Linked DNA regions of Arabidopsis thaliana. The protein of the gene in region 2 interacts with the protein of the main gene of each other region in a pairwise test. Each region holds a gene or a part of one and is shown on either strand. Other genes may lie near its edges.

The links.
Region 1: the proteins of AFO (region 2) and ERF8 interact in binary tests that used the Arabidopsis thaliana proteins (3 or more experiments, as listed by UniProt).
Region 3: the proteins of AFO (region 2) and TCP15 interact in binary tests that used the Arabidopsis thaliana proteins (3 or more experiments, as listed by UniProt).

The regions. Positions count from the first base shown.
Region 1 is NC_003070.9:19,820,271-19,823,843, reverse strand, and holds ERF8 (ethylene response factor 8), read left to right. Parts: upstream 1-1,591; 5' UTR 1,592-1,747; coding exon 1,748-2,305; 3' UTR 2,306-2,507; downstream 2,508-3,573.
Region 2 is NC_003071.7:18,627,128-18,633,228, forward strand, and holds AFO (Plant-specific transcription factor YABBY family protein), read right to left. Parts: upstream 3,653-6,101; 5' UTR 3,426-3,652; coding exon 3,312-3,425; intron 3,302-3,311; exon of another isoform or gene 3,191-3,301; coding exon 3,029-3,190; intron 2,935-3,028; coding exon 2,802-2,934; intron 2,227-2,801; coding exon 2,178-2,226; intron 2,088-2,177; coding exon 2,012-2,087; intron 1,594-2,011; coding exon 1,516-1,593; intron 1,401-1,515; coding exon 1,323-1,400; 3' UTR 1,125-1,322; downstream 1-1,124.
Region 3 is NC_003070.9:26,214,401-26,219,137, forward strand, and holds TCP15 (TCP family transcription factor), read left to right. Parts: upstream 1-1,608; 5' UTR 1,609-2,048; coding exon 2,049-3,026; 3' UTR 3,027-3,671; downstream 3,672-4,737. UniProt on the Arabidopsis thaliana protein: Transcription factor involved the regulation of plant development. Together with TCP14, modulates plant stature by promoting cell division in young internodes. Represses cell proliferation in developing leaf blade and specific floral tissues.

The DNA of each region.
Region 1 (3,573 bases), on a different chromosome or scaffold from region 2:
TGTAACAACGTATATTTTCTCCACAGAACTAACAAATTCGAATCTATTTGTTTGATGGTGTTCATTTTTAATCCAATGTACATATGCAAGTAGTAGATATCTCTTTCTTTTTTGTATATACACGATATATAAAATAGTTCACTAAGTTATAAATCTAAAAATTTATTTTGATAATATTTTGTTTACCAAATAAATACACAAATAGTATATATGCGTTGTTCGTCATGATATCGTCATATATAAAATCCACTACAATATAAAATTTTGGTCATTTTGTTTGATAATATTTATTTTTCACCAGATATAAGCATGTAAATAATAGATTTTTTTTTTCTTGTCGGCTCGTTAACGACATTTATAACGGAATAACGGTATACTAAAGTACAAATTTTTATTCTATTCCCTTTATACCAAATAAGCTTTCATGGTAACATCCGCTAAATTATATATTGTCATCATGGTAACATCCGCTAAATTACAAATTTCAAATAATTTTTACTTTTACCAAACAGAAAAGTAAGAAATATTTTTTTGTCGACACTTTAACGATATATATATGTAACGGTATATAATTTACAAATTCAGAAATTTTGTTCGCTATATATTTTCTTACAAATTTTTTTTTTTTTGTTTATGTGTTAACAACATATATAACTACAAATTCGATAATTTTGTTTGAATATTTTTTCTACTAGATACACACACAATAGTTTATATTATATATATATATATATAAATCTTGACCTAACTAAAACATATAGTTTAAAAGGGTGTTATTAGTTCTTAATTAATTAAAAAAAATTCAAGAATCTGATAAAATCATAGATTGTAAAGAAATGAAAGTTTCTAAACTATTATTATAGAGTTTTCTATAATCTTGTTGATTAGTTTTTCACAATTTCTAAATTTTCTCAAACAATCTTTCTTTTTTAATGATACTTTTCGTAACTTTATTTTGGAAAAAGTGTAGAAAATCATAAACCAATAACACAATAATTTAATTCATTGACAATTATAGATTCTTTTGTTTTAGCTAAATAATATAAAATTTATAATAATTTTATAAAAGTATAAATCCAATAACTATAGATTTATCAAGATTTTAAATTATTTTTTACAAATCTTAATATTTTAAATTTTTTTAATTGAATAACAATAGATTCTTTATAATATTTTAAGTTACTAAAACTTTAATTAAATCACAAACTAATAACACTCTTTAATAGTGTATACTAGTATTATTGTTATGTCATTATATAGATTTAAATCCGCATATTACATTGCTTTAATAAGAAAAATTACTTAAAATTGCAAAGTGGCGATATAACATGTTTTATAGATTTAGTACAAATATGTTCCTAGTTTAAATAGGGATAAATGCAGCAAAAACCAAATTATATTATATTCTTAATAGGCAGTAACTTAATTTATAAGATTGTGATTTGTGCAGTCTTTGTTACAAAGGTGAAAAAGGGTAATAAATAAGATTCTTTTGGAGAAAGAGAAGTGAACACGTGGCAAAACATAAGTGGATATAATAACAAAAACCAGTTTTTATATGAAATAAGAGAAGCATGAGAGAGAGATAATTAAACCATCTCTCAAAATGGCTTTGACTGTTCACAAGAAAGCTCCCCAAAAGGAGCGTTGCTTTACTCTCCTATAAAAAGAAGCTCTTCTACTTCTTCTCGTTACCACAAAACTCTTTCACCGATCTTCTCGTTCCATTCTTCTTCCTAATTACACCATGCCCAACATCACCATGGGTTTGAAACCCGACCCGGTTGCTCCAACGAACCCGACTCATCATGAGAGTAATGCTGCCAAAGAGATTCGTTACAGAGGCGTTAGGAAACGTCCATGGGGAAGATACGCCGCTGAGATCCGAGATCCGGTTAAGAAAACTCGAGTCTGGCTCGGTACGTTCGACACCGCTCAGCAGGCGGCGCGTGCTTACGACGCAGCCGCGCGTGACTTTCGTGGTGTTAAGGCTAAGACCAATTTCGGTGTTATCGTTGGTAGTAGTCCTACTCAGAGTAGCACCGTCGTCGACTCTCCCACGGCGGCACGGTTTATAACACCTCCGCACCTCGAGCTCAGCTTAGGCGGCGGCGGCGCGTGTCGTCGTAAGATCCCGCTTGTGCATCCGGTTTACTACTATAACATGGCGACGTATCCAAAGATGACGACGTGTGGTGTCCAGAGCGAGTCTGAAACGTCGTCGGTCGTTGATTTCGAAGGTGGAGCTGGGAAGATATCTCCGCCGTTAGATCTGGATCTTAACTTAGCTCCTCCGGCGGAATAGGCCGTGAGTTTTTTTTTTCTTATGTCGTTTCTTTAGACAAAAAAAAATAACGTTTCCTTTTTTTTTCTGCCTAAGAAAAAAATATTATCCGTTTTTTAGAAGAAAGTGTAGAAAAGCTCCAATATAATTTTTAGCTGCCGTGAAAAAAAAGTCGTTATGTATATATTATTATGAAACCCTATTATAAATCGACGTAACATAAGAGGATCTTAAGCTTTTTTTTTTTCTTTAGTATTTGCCAAGGAAATGCATCATCGTAAATTCGTAATTGAAAAGATAAAGTATTATAGAGCTTTTTGGGGCTCGTGTGTAGAAGAAATAGATAAAGAATGGTAATGTTATTATTATAAGACTAAATATAGTGATGAGTATCGTCGTCGTCGGCTTGAAAAGACAATGGTCCAAGTGTCGTGAAGACACGCACCAATCGTGGGAGGACCGGACCCATCTTCTCTGGCTGCGGCGTACGTTAGAAGAATACTTCTTTACGCTTACGTCATTTTCACAGTTTGGACTGCTTTTCTAACTTTTGACTTTTGTGTTTTGCATCAACTCTTTTAACTCCGATGATTTATTAACAGATGGTTAAGAGTCTTGCTTAAGTTGAATAGTATTCGATTTGAAATGGTAAAAATGTTTTAAGGAAGTTGAAGATAAGAAGAGCGGCGGCTTCATAATGAGAGACAAAGGAAGGATGAGATTTGATTTTGATTCTTGTCGCCAACTTTGTGATCAAAAAACGTATAAAACAGTTATGCTCTATGGTCGCAGATCCAACGGCTGGAATCGTCATCGTTACCACGTGGACGCTTAACATAATTTAAATTCTTATTTCATATTTTTTTAAAGAAGTTAGTATGTTTTAAAATATATATATATGCATGCGTACAAAATCGTGTTAAGGGTTATAATAAAGGGATGTAAAATTGGGGCCTCTAGAAAGTTGAATAGTTTCAATTAAGCCCTTATCTTAACGACATTTAGCCCCACTCAACCAAATATACACCCATGTCATGTCACTACGCACAACTATGGATCACTCCCATAAGTAGATGTTTTATATCAATTGACGATTGCAACTTTTTTACGTTACAAATTTAATGCTGGACCGAAGGCTACCATACTAGGATCCGAAAGCCCGATCCACGTGTGGCGTCATCAGGACAATGTTTGCGACACGTCGGCTGAGGTGTTTGGCGCGGTGTTTATGATAACGGCGTTTACACAAACCTCTGTTTATGAGCTCTGTGACTGTGACTGTATGATTT
Region 2 (6,101 bases):
TAGGCCCATATGGACCTATAAGTCCAGAACAACATGGACCACATTAGAAAGCGAAAGGGTAAAGCCGTCATTGTTGCATACAACACGTAGAAATTAGATGGGTCTAGAAGTAACGAAACACTGCGTTTTGTTGGATTCTTCTTTTGGAACTCGTAAATTGACAACTAAGCTTGTTTACTCGATGTTGGGGAGTGTATAGTACGATGATCGGAAAATGAAATAAATATAGTCGGAGACTGAAGAAAACTATTCTGAGAAGCAATTTCCGTTGGGATCCGGTGCTAAGGATTTAAATCATTTTTTAGTCCAAAAAAAAAAAGAAAAAAAAAAGAAGGATTTAAATCATTTTATTATCATCGCATTATTGTATACCAGGCCCACTGATTGCTAAGGAAACTCGTCATTAATATTAATGGGCCGAATTCTAGTAGGCCTGATAACATATAGTCACTTGACCCAAAACGTTTTTTTTTTGTTATTTATCATGCTTGCTCATATCCTAATGTCATTTTTGTTTGATTTGCTACTTATATCCACCGCTCTATATTGCACCAAAAGAAAAAAAGACGAGTTAAATTTAAGTCTGATATACACTTTTAGATTAGCTTATTGCTATCACTGAATTTTTGATCTTACGAAATAAATTTATCTTAACTTTTAATTTCCCTCTATTTTGACAACAATTGTCGTTTGATGCATGCCCCAGTTCTTATTTAATTATACCATATCACTATTATAAAACCATTAATGGGAGCAATAAGATTGAACCATATGCAACAATCTCAAGAATCAGATTTTGAATGGAGAAATTTGAACAGAATCACATCGTTTTACATGTTTTCGGGAAGCAAATGCTTGTGCATATTTCCATTCTTAGTTTAGTTTGAATTTTGAAATGTAATATGATCATTCCCCTCTTGTTTTCTCTTCGGTTAAATTTTTGTGATATATTCATTCTGGAGGAAAAAAAGCTTTGGATTAATTGGTGGTTGTAATTTCCTTTGAGTTTCTTTTACATATGGCGATGGTGTAAAAATCTATTAAAAAAGTCTGATTATTTAAATTTCAAATTCGGCTTTCAGTAATAATAAGAAAACATTTTGATAAGTTAATTAATTATACAACTACAAATGAAAATTAACTTAAGAAACCCCATTAATTAGCAAGATTTTTGATTACAACAACAGAAAAAGACACATGCATATTTATAATATATATAAATAAGTTCAAGAAAGGAAAAGAAACCACAACTTTTGGACATGATAAACCCTAAGAAATTGGATTTCAATTCCTCAAATACTTAGTCGATTATATTTATCTCTTTAATAAGGAGTCACACCAACGTTAGCAGCTGCAGGAGCGTAGAACCCTTCTTTCATCACCATGTTATCCTCTCCCTCCTACACACATGTTTAAGATATGATCCAAATCAATTGAAATTATATTTGTATATATGATATTACATAAAAGTATATGCATTAAAGATGTAAGGTATGTCGACAGATTAGGGTTTACCTGTTGGGGCATGTTGGTTTTCTTCACGGGTTGATTGTCTGGCACGAGCCCGAAGTGTATGTGGGGGAAGTGGGCCCACTGCATTACACATAAACAACATACGTACAAGACACATATCAACTTGTGTTATAACCCGACAAAATTCTTTACTCCTAATTTCAGCTATACCTACATATATGACTGTTTAATATATATACAACTAATACAAGAGCAACTATACGCATAGATAAAATCAAACCCTAGTTTCTGCCGGCAATCTAAACCAAGTTGTGATGTTAGTAGTATCAATGGCTTAAATTCTTTAGTAAAGGAAAACAAAGAATACTTAAAACGCATCACTTCTAACTAGAATTTTCAGCGTTTAAAAAAATAATTTTTTTATTGAACTAGAGATAAATATGGATTATCAAGGACTCTTTTGATTATTAAAATTTGATTCAACCAATGGATAACAGTTTAATATAAATTTTTGGGATGTGAGAAATAAGGTTCTTACATTCTTGGCAGCAGCACTAAAGGCTTCTCTGTGGCTTATATCAGGATTACCAGCTTTGATACGTTGGATCTCCTCCCTAAAATAAAAACGTGACAAGGAATTATATTAATGTTACACAGTTATGGTTAGAATATGAATGATTGTAAAAATTAAATAAGAGACTCACTTGATGAATCGGTTATATGCGGATGGGACTCTCTGTCTTTTCTCTGGAGCTGGCAATGGCGAAATTCAACGGCAAAGACAAAGCGAAAAAACAAAAACTCAGACAGAAAGAGACAAACACTCATTAAAACTACTTTCATTGTCTTTTTTCTCTCTCACACAAATACTTTCTCTCTCTAACCCATCATCACTTCATCATGTTTTTTTAAAGACAAGCCCATCTTCTAACATATTACATAGATTTTTTCTCTTTAGCTAGATTTCCGGGGGATCCATGAATCTATCTCCCCGTTTCTTTTATCGTCACTATTTTAATGTTTACCAACGCTAAAAGCCATCTAGGATATGTAGACAATCAACACATACTAAAGTTCATGGATCAATGAATATTTTAAATATACAAAATCATAATCTCTCATGTCTCCTTCTAGTATACAAAGAAAAGAAAGGTAAAAAATCTCCTTCTAGACTTAATTCAATGGTGCTAGGGTTTGAACGAGATCCAGTGAAAGTTAAATAAGAAAAGCTATGCATGTCTTAATGGCGATTCATCATCACAACCAAATTATAAACACGGTTAGCATAGAAGTTAATATCATAAAAGTGAGAAGAATTAGTATCTTACGGCGGTTAACGGGTGGTGCTTTAGGAATCTCATGTTGTTGATGAAGATCCATGAAAGATGGTATGTCATTCATAGTAGGATGTTGATTCATCATCATCATATTCATGTTAGACGGTGCATCTCTCAGCTCCTCCTACAATAATATTTATATCCTTGAGGCTTGAGATTACTTCCAATAAGCTAAATGAGACCCTATAAGATTATGTATTTGAATTTTGTTTAAGTACCAGAATATCCTGGGGATTGAAGTAAGAGTGAGGACCGAGCTGGAGCTGGAGCTGGTTAGAAGCTGGGAGGACATATGATCTCATGTTCACCGAAAGGAGATTGGTACAGCAACCACATCGGACAGTTACGGTCTTGAACAAGCTTGTGTAAGGAACATTAACCTATAAGCACACAAAAGAAACAATGAATTTAAAAAACCCCTAATCTTGTATAGATCAAGAAGATGAGAAGTTGGAGGAGAAAAAATGAGAGAGAAAGTATTGAAGAGAGGTTATTTTGTACCGCAAGGATGGTTTGGCAAAAGTTGCATTGGACATAGCAGAGATGGTCGGAAGGAGAGAAGTGGTCCGGTGAACAAACAGCTGAGGAAGGGGAGGACATAGACGACATAGACATCTTTTTTGTAAGAAGGGGAAAAATATTGGAAGCTGATCTTTTTTTGGGAGTGTTTGGGGATTTGATTGATTGATGGGTATTTGACTGATCAGAGGATTCTTGATAAGGAGAAAATAAAAAACCCCACCATGATCTGATCTTCTTGATTGTTGGGTTGCTGTGTATTATATACCACAAAGGAAGATATATAGAGAGAGAAGAGGTGAAAGGAGTGAGAAGGGAAAGGGGATATTAATATATTAGAGGGTAAAAATTAAACAACAAATGCTCTAATTGTAGCCTCTAGGTCGTCTACTATTAATTTCGTTAATTAATTCGGTAATACTGTGTGTATATATATAATGTGGTGTATTATACATTTCAATTCAGCGATACATATATTCTTTAAAGAAATTCTCCAATGGGTTATATACAATTTTAGGTTTTGAATAGTATAACAGAGTCAGCGGTAGTGAACCAGCAACATAAATGGAATAAGTTTGGATGGTGTAGAACAGATAACACAAACCAAATAAAAATAAATATGCCGGTGTTTAATAAGACAATAACTATTTATATAATTTTTCATTAAATCAAGTGGCCGAATAAAATTTATGATCGATAAAATAAACATACATTAGTTTTTTTAATAAGTTTCGGAACTACACCCTAAACACCATTTGAATAAGCAGTTCATTTTTTTCACAAACAGTTTTTTTTATACCTTTTCCGTATATTCTTATAAATTGTATTGCCACATAACAATTGAATTGTACCACCACTATACCGCACTCTTTGTTTTTATTTATCACAAAATGCATAATCTTGACAAGTGGATCCAGATATTAAACAAATGTTAAATTACTTTGAACATAATATTAATTGACAAAAGAATTGGACAATTTCTTTACAAATATCACTTCTTTTTTTTTGATAAAAATATACATCTCACTTAGATCTTTTTTAATTTTTAATTAGTCAAATGATGCGAGTTATTATTAAATCTTTGTTGTCAACATCCAATATAAGATTTCTTTTTGATAATGCCTATATTAGAAATTCGGTTGACCATGCGGTCTCACCCTTACTAGAAAACGTAGACATTAAGCATCTATACCGTTGTACCTCTAAGATGACCTTGTGGTCACAAGGAGACAAGACTGATGACAAAATAGTTTTGAGGATATTATCGCTTAAAGATGGACCTTTTTCTATCTGATCTCAAACAATTACAAACCTAATTTTGCAATCAATTAAATTTTGGTCTATACAATTAAAAGCACATGTTAATATATGAAAATAGCTATAGGCATTTATGTTTCTATATAAATAGAACAAGAAATTCTAACTAAAGAATCAAATTTATAGCTACTATACAAAACTTTCGACAAAAATATGAGATTGGATCAATATAGCGATGACCACTAAACTACAAACCACTTCATGATCAATTTTGAAATCTTAGGAAGAAGATATTGTAGTACTAGTATGAACAAGGGAAGATTGAGGCATACATTAGAAGATTCGCGAGCTTAGGCTTTGGGGTTGGGGTTGCACGTGATGACACATGTAATGTGTTTGCAAGTAAGTTAAGAAACGACGAAGCTCTTGAAAAAAAATTTAAGTGAAAAAAGTTTTAAAGCTTTGACAATAGAATTCGCAGTTCCCAATGGAGGAAGAGAAGAGAGGAGAGAGAGAGGGCGGCAGAGGTGGGGGGAAGAAAGGGACGTGTGCATGGGAGTGATTAAGCGTCGCCTCATTCACCCGTTGTTGTCATTCCTTAATTACCACTGCCATTACTTTTTCTCGTTTCTCTATACAATTCCTTTCCTATTTTTTTAATTTTTTTTTTAATTATTAGTATTTAATTTCAATTGAAACATACTTTGTTTTGTTTGTTTGTATCATGTATGTATATGTAGAGATAAACATGATGCTCCATTTTTATTGATTGGTTATCATTAGCTTTTTAGTCAATTATATGATTGTTTTTTCCCCCTCCATTTGAATATTTGGAATCATCCAAGTCTAGACTTTCCATGAAAGCGAAAGTAAATTAATTCTATTTTTGTAGTTAAAATTTCCGAGTTAACCGGCTGCTTATCAATATACTAGTTTTATATTTCCGTTTAACTTAAATCGTTATTTTGTTGTTTTAAAATATTTGGCATTTATCACTTAATAATTTACGCACGCTCTCAAATGTGTATCCGAATTTCATTGATTAGGATAAGGAAACTATATGATTTATCTTCCTAGCTATTTTCTAGATTACAATTTTATTTTTAGTTTGTATTGCTTTTGCTGGATAAGAAAACTCTTTTTAACTAAGAATTATACAAGGGAAACAGCCAATATACTAATGTAGTGTTTCTCAATGATAGTTTTAAAAGCGCCATGAATATGTACGTATATATAGGAACACCATATTGGTGAAAGCCACGAGCAAAACTCCACACGTAATTAATTTCAAACCTACATATGATTTTATATAATATTCCATTCTCATTTCAAGTATAGATGTCTAAGAAAATATCTATGCACCTACTTGCGAAAATGATGCAATGCATATATCATATATGTTTTGTCCCACCAATTGAAAATAACTCCTTAGCTTGTATATCAATATTAATTAGTATTTGTTACTAATCGATCCGAAGAATCATAGAATTAGATTATGTAATGCAAAATCAATCG
Region 3 (4,737 bases), on a different chromosome or scaffold from region 2:
TTGTTTTGCTTTTTAGATTTGTCAAATATGCACAACACCTTTTAACTATCAATTCGTTTTCTTTTCTGTTTAGTCTTTGATATATAGTTTTCTTGATATTTTGATTGGTTTACTAATTACTACAAGCAGGCCGATACTTTTAGTTATTTATATTTTACGAGGGAAAATTATGGTCAATGAACATATTCTAGTTAAAACATAAAAAGATATCACATATATAAGTAATTAAAATATAAAATTTTGTCATTTGTAAATATGTTTGGGCGAAAATGTTTGGACATCCCATAGGTTTTATGTGGCTATGCGTAAAGTTTCTAATAGTTAGACTAATCAACGTTCCTAAGAGATCATCAGAACTAGTTACACCTTACACGTAACGTTAATGATTCGTCTAAACTAAGAGACGATAATTAGCCACAATAGAAAATACTATATTTTGATTTTTGAGAAGTTTTATCTTCATAAAGCTTAGACATTTGAAAAAGAATAGTAAGATTATAACAAATATATTTTACAATTTTCAATATATACTAAGAAAGATGAATTTGCCTAAACTCAAAATTAATATGTGTAAGAATTTTTATAATTGGTTTTCTCCATTTCTTTTAACAAAATCATATGTATATTCAAATATACTACCTGGCAATTATTATATGCATGCTTATGTTGGTTTATGTAATAACTTGGATTTATTTTGTTACACTCAATTTCTATAAAACACAAATTTGAGATTTTTAAAAAATATTTATTTAAAATATCTTCATAATAATTCGAATTTACTTTTATATTATTTTTTTCTTTTGTATTCTCTAATTCAATTATATTTTTAACGTTACCATATATATATATATATATATATATATATATATATTACGCTGGTCCTAATTAGTAGTATAATCTATGTAACACCGTATATTTTGATTCTTTGAACAGCTTATATGAATAATCATCACATAAGAAGGAGCCTTCTTCATCACTATTCACTACATATAAAAATTCGTTTCAGAAAAAAAAGATCAATGTTCTGTCCACATCAGAGTATCAAAATAATTTTCTAAATTTAGTGCTACATCTTTTAACGACAATTGTATGTCAATGAGATAACTCCAATGGTGGAAACAAAAGAGAAGCATTACAAATTTGCTTTTATATATCTATAAAGCACTGTAACTATGGTTTTATAAATAATAATATCAAACTGGTAACTCATTCAAGAGTCACAGAGGAGAAAAAACAATCCATCTGTTTCATAAAAAAAGCAGTTGGATTCTATTATATCATGTGGATCTCGTGAACTACCATAGAGCCATGGATTAATCACTGTCATTCTGTCAATAATAATTCTATCTATTTATTATTCTGTTGTCACATATGTACAAAATATATGTAAACTTCTCAGTTCTGTCTGAATCGCTGAAATTTTCGCTAAATGTGCAATTAATTTCCCGATCGCTTGAAGTTAACAGTTACGACGAGAAACTGACGTCACTTTTTAATTATTGTAAAGAATGAAAAAGAGTGTTCGTATAGGGTAATTGTATTATTGTAAAAAACTATGTATCCAAACACAATAAATACACGAACAACATTTATTTTCACTCACTTTGATCACTGTACGTAATAAGGAAAAACATTTTATTTGAATGAATATTTGTACAGATTGGAGAACCACGTAAGCCCATCTCTTTTATTTCCAAAAATAACGAAAAATTCTCAAAGGGAATAGTTTATAATGTAAATAAAATTCCAAAAATAAAACACAAAAGATATAAAGCAGCAAGAGAAAAAAAAAGTCCATGCTTTCATATTCATTGCTTTAATCTCTCTCTCTCTCTCAGACATAGACACAGCTAAGCTTCCCATCTGAAAGGAGTTTCATGTCCTAAGGACCATATTATAACCTCTCTATCTCTCTCTAAGTATCAGCAAAAAAACAGAGATTTATAGAGAGAGAAAAAAACTATGGCTCACATAAAGATCTAACAGAGACAGTAGTATAGTCCCACTTCCCCACCACCAAAGCTTCGATCATCATCATCATCATCATCATGGATCCGGATCCGGATCATAACCATCGACCCAACTTCCCTCTCCAGCTTCTTGATTCTTCTACCTCCTCCTCTTCCACTTCCTTAGCCATCATCTCTACTACTTCCGAACCTAACTCCGAACCTAAGAAGCCTCCTCCTAAACGAACCTCTACTAAAGACCGACACACCAAAGTCGAAGGCCGAGGCCGTCGGATCCGTATGCCTGCCATGTGTGCTGCACGTGTCTTTCAGCTCACACGTGAGCTTGGTCACAAATCCGACGGTGAAACTATTGAGTGGCTACTCCAACAAGCAGAACCAGCGGTTATAGCCGCTACAGGGACTGGAACCATTCCGGCTAACTTCACTTCTTTAAACATCTCACTTCGTAGCTCAAGATCTTCTCTCTCTGCTGCTCATCTTCGTACAACTCCTAGTAGCTATTACTTTCATTCACCACATCAGTCCATGACTCATCATCTTCAACATCAGCATCAGGTTCGTCCCAAGAACGAGTCACATTCTTCGTCTTCTTCTTCTTCACAGCTTTTAGATCACAACCAAATGGGTAACTATCTAGTACAATCAACTGCTGGATCTTTACCTACGAGTCAGAGTCCTGCAACGGCACCGTTTTGGAGTAGTGGTGACAACACACAGAATCTTTGGGCTTTTAATATTAATCCTCATCATTCCGGTGTTGTCGCCGGAGATGTTTACAACCCCAACAGTGGTGGTAGTGGCGGCGGTAGTGGAGTTCATTTGATGAATTTTGCAGCTCCTATTGCTTTGTTTTCTGGACAGCCTTTGGCTTCTGGTTATGGAGGAGGAGGAGGTGGCGGTGGAGAACATAGCCATTATGGAGTTTTAGCGGCGTTGAATGCTGCTTACCGACCGGTGGCGGAGACGGGGAACCATAACAACAACCAGCAAAACCGTGACGGAGATCATCATCACAACCATCAAGAAGATGGAAGCACCAGTCATCATTCCTAGGCAAACATACACAAACAAATATATTCTGTGAGATTTATTTTTCTTTTTTTGTCCTTTCGTTTGTTTGTTTGTTCTTAACAAGCGTGTTTTTTTTGCATTGCTTCTTTTTCATATATTTTTATTTATTTCTAAATTCTAATATTCTACGGATTTCATCTTGTTTATTTTTCTGATTAATGTATTGAGTAAGTAATTAAGAACCTGATAATCGATATGTTTTAGTTTGTGGTTTTTGCATGCAAGGCTTTGGTTTTATTATTCTAGAGATTTTTGCTTGAAGTAGTTGTCTTGTGAAATGTTTTCCTCATTACTATTGAGTGTGAGAGTTTTCTAATACTTGATTAGGGTTTTTGAACAATTTTTATATATGTATATTAATTCAGTACGGATTATCAATAAATTATTTCGCATGCCAAATTATTATCTTCCACTTCGTTCATGGTTACATTGTCTCGAAGAAGCTACATCTTATGCATTGTGAGCAATTATTCAGGTTCTAGCTATCTCTTTTAATATGTTAATTTCTTTGCATGATTAACATCTTACTCCTGACTGGTCTATTGGTGACTATGCTAAGATAATGTAGATATATATAGTAACAAAATCATATAGGTCAAAGCATTAAGTGTGATTGTTTTGGTTAATTATAAGTGTGTTGACGAGGGGATGCATTGTAGATATGATGCCATATTAATGCCAGTAGGTTTATGCGCATGGTGGTTTGGATACGTTCAATTTATAGCCGTTGCAAAAATTGAAGGCATTTAATTTTGCTAATGATATTACCAAAATTATTTGATTATGAATCAAAAGATACAAGGAGAATTATCAAAAAAAAAATATATAGGTCCATTATCCGTATAAGGTAGCTAAGAACTTAATTAGTCTGGTGCTATGTTTGAAGACTCACGTACGATTTACAATCTCTGGATCTATGAAACTCATCACCAAGCAGGAACCTGTATTTATACGTCAATATTTGTGAATTTTCGGATACCCAAAAAATACCAAGAATATATATTTCATTTTCTGCTGAAAATCAGAGAAAAATGTGTTTTAAAAACAATGTCTATAAACAAATTTATAGATTGAAGTTAGAACTAAAAACTTTTGATGGTTATAGATTTCAGCTTGATCATTTATTTCTGAAGTGTTTTCGTTGGATGAAACATAGATTATATATGTCTATAATTAATTGAGACATATACATTGATGATATACAAAATAACCAGGAATTTTTCGTTATACAGAAAAATACACAAGTCTATGTAACATGCGTAATAACCATATGGTCCATATCGCTGCATTTTGTGTCGGTCTACATTATTGGATTTATTTTAGTATAATGTATGTGATACGTTCTTACCATGCATGGGTATACATAGAGAAAGGTGTATAAATCAACGAGCATGGGAATTATGACGTTAATAATTCTAAAATAATGCACACACATCCTGTTAATATAAACAATATAAATTATATATCAGTTTATTATGGAAATAATACTTGAAACTTCTATAGATCGGTGTGAACCATTCCTTGACATCATAGGCATGTCGGTTATATAACCTCATCCATATGTTCTATCAATTAATCAAATATGGTAATTAAAGAAAGTCAAATATTGTGACATACATGCATTTTTTTTTACTAACGGTTGATATCAAGCATTTATAGACGAACGTCTATTTGATGATCTCAATAATCATAT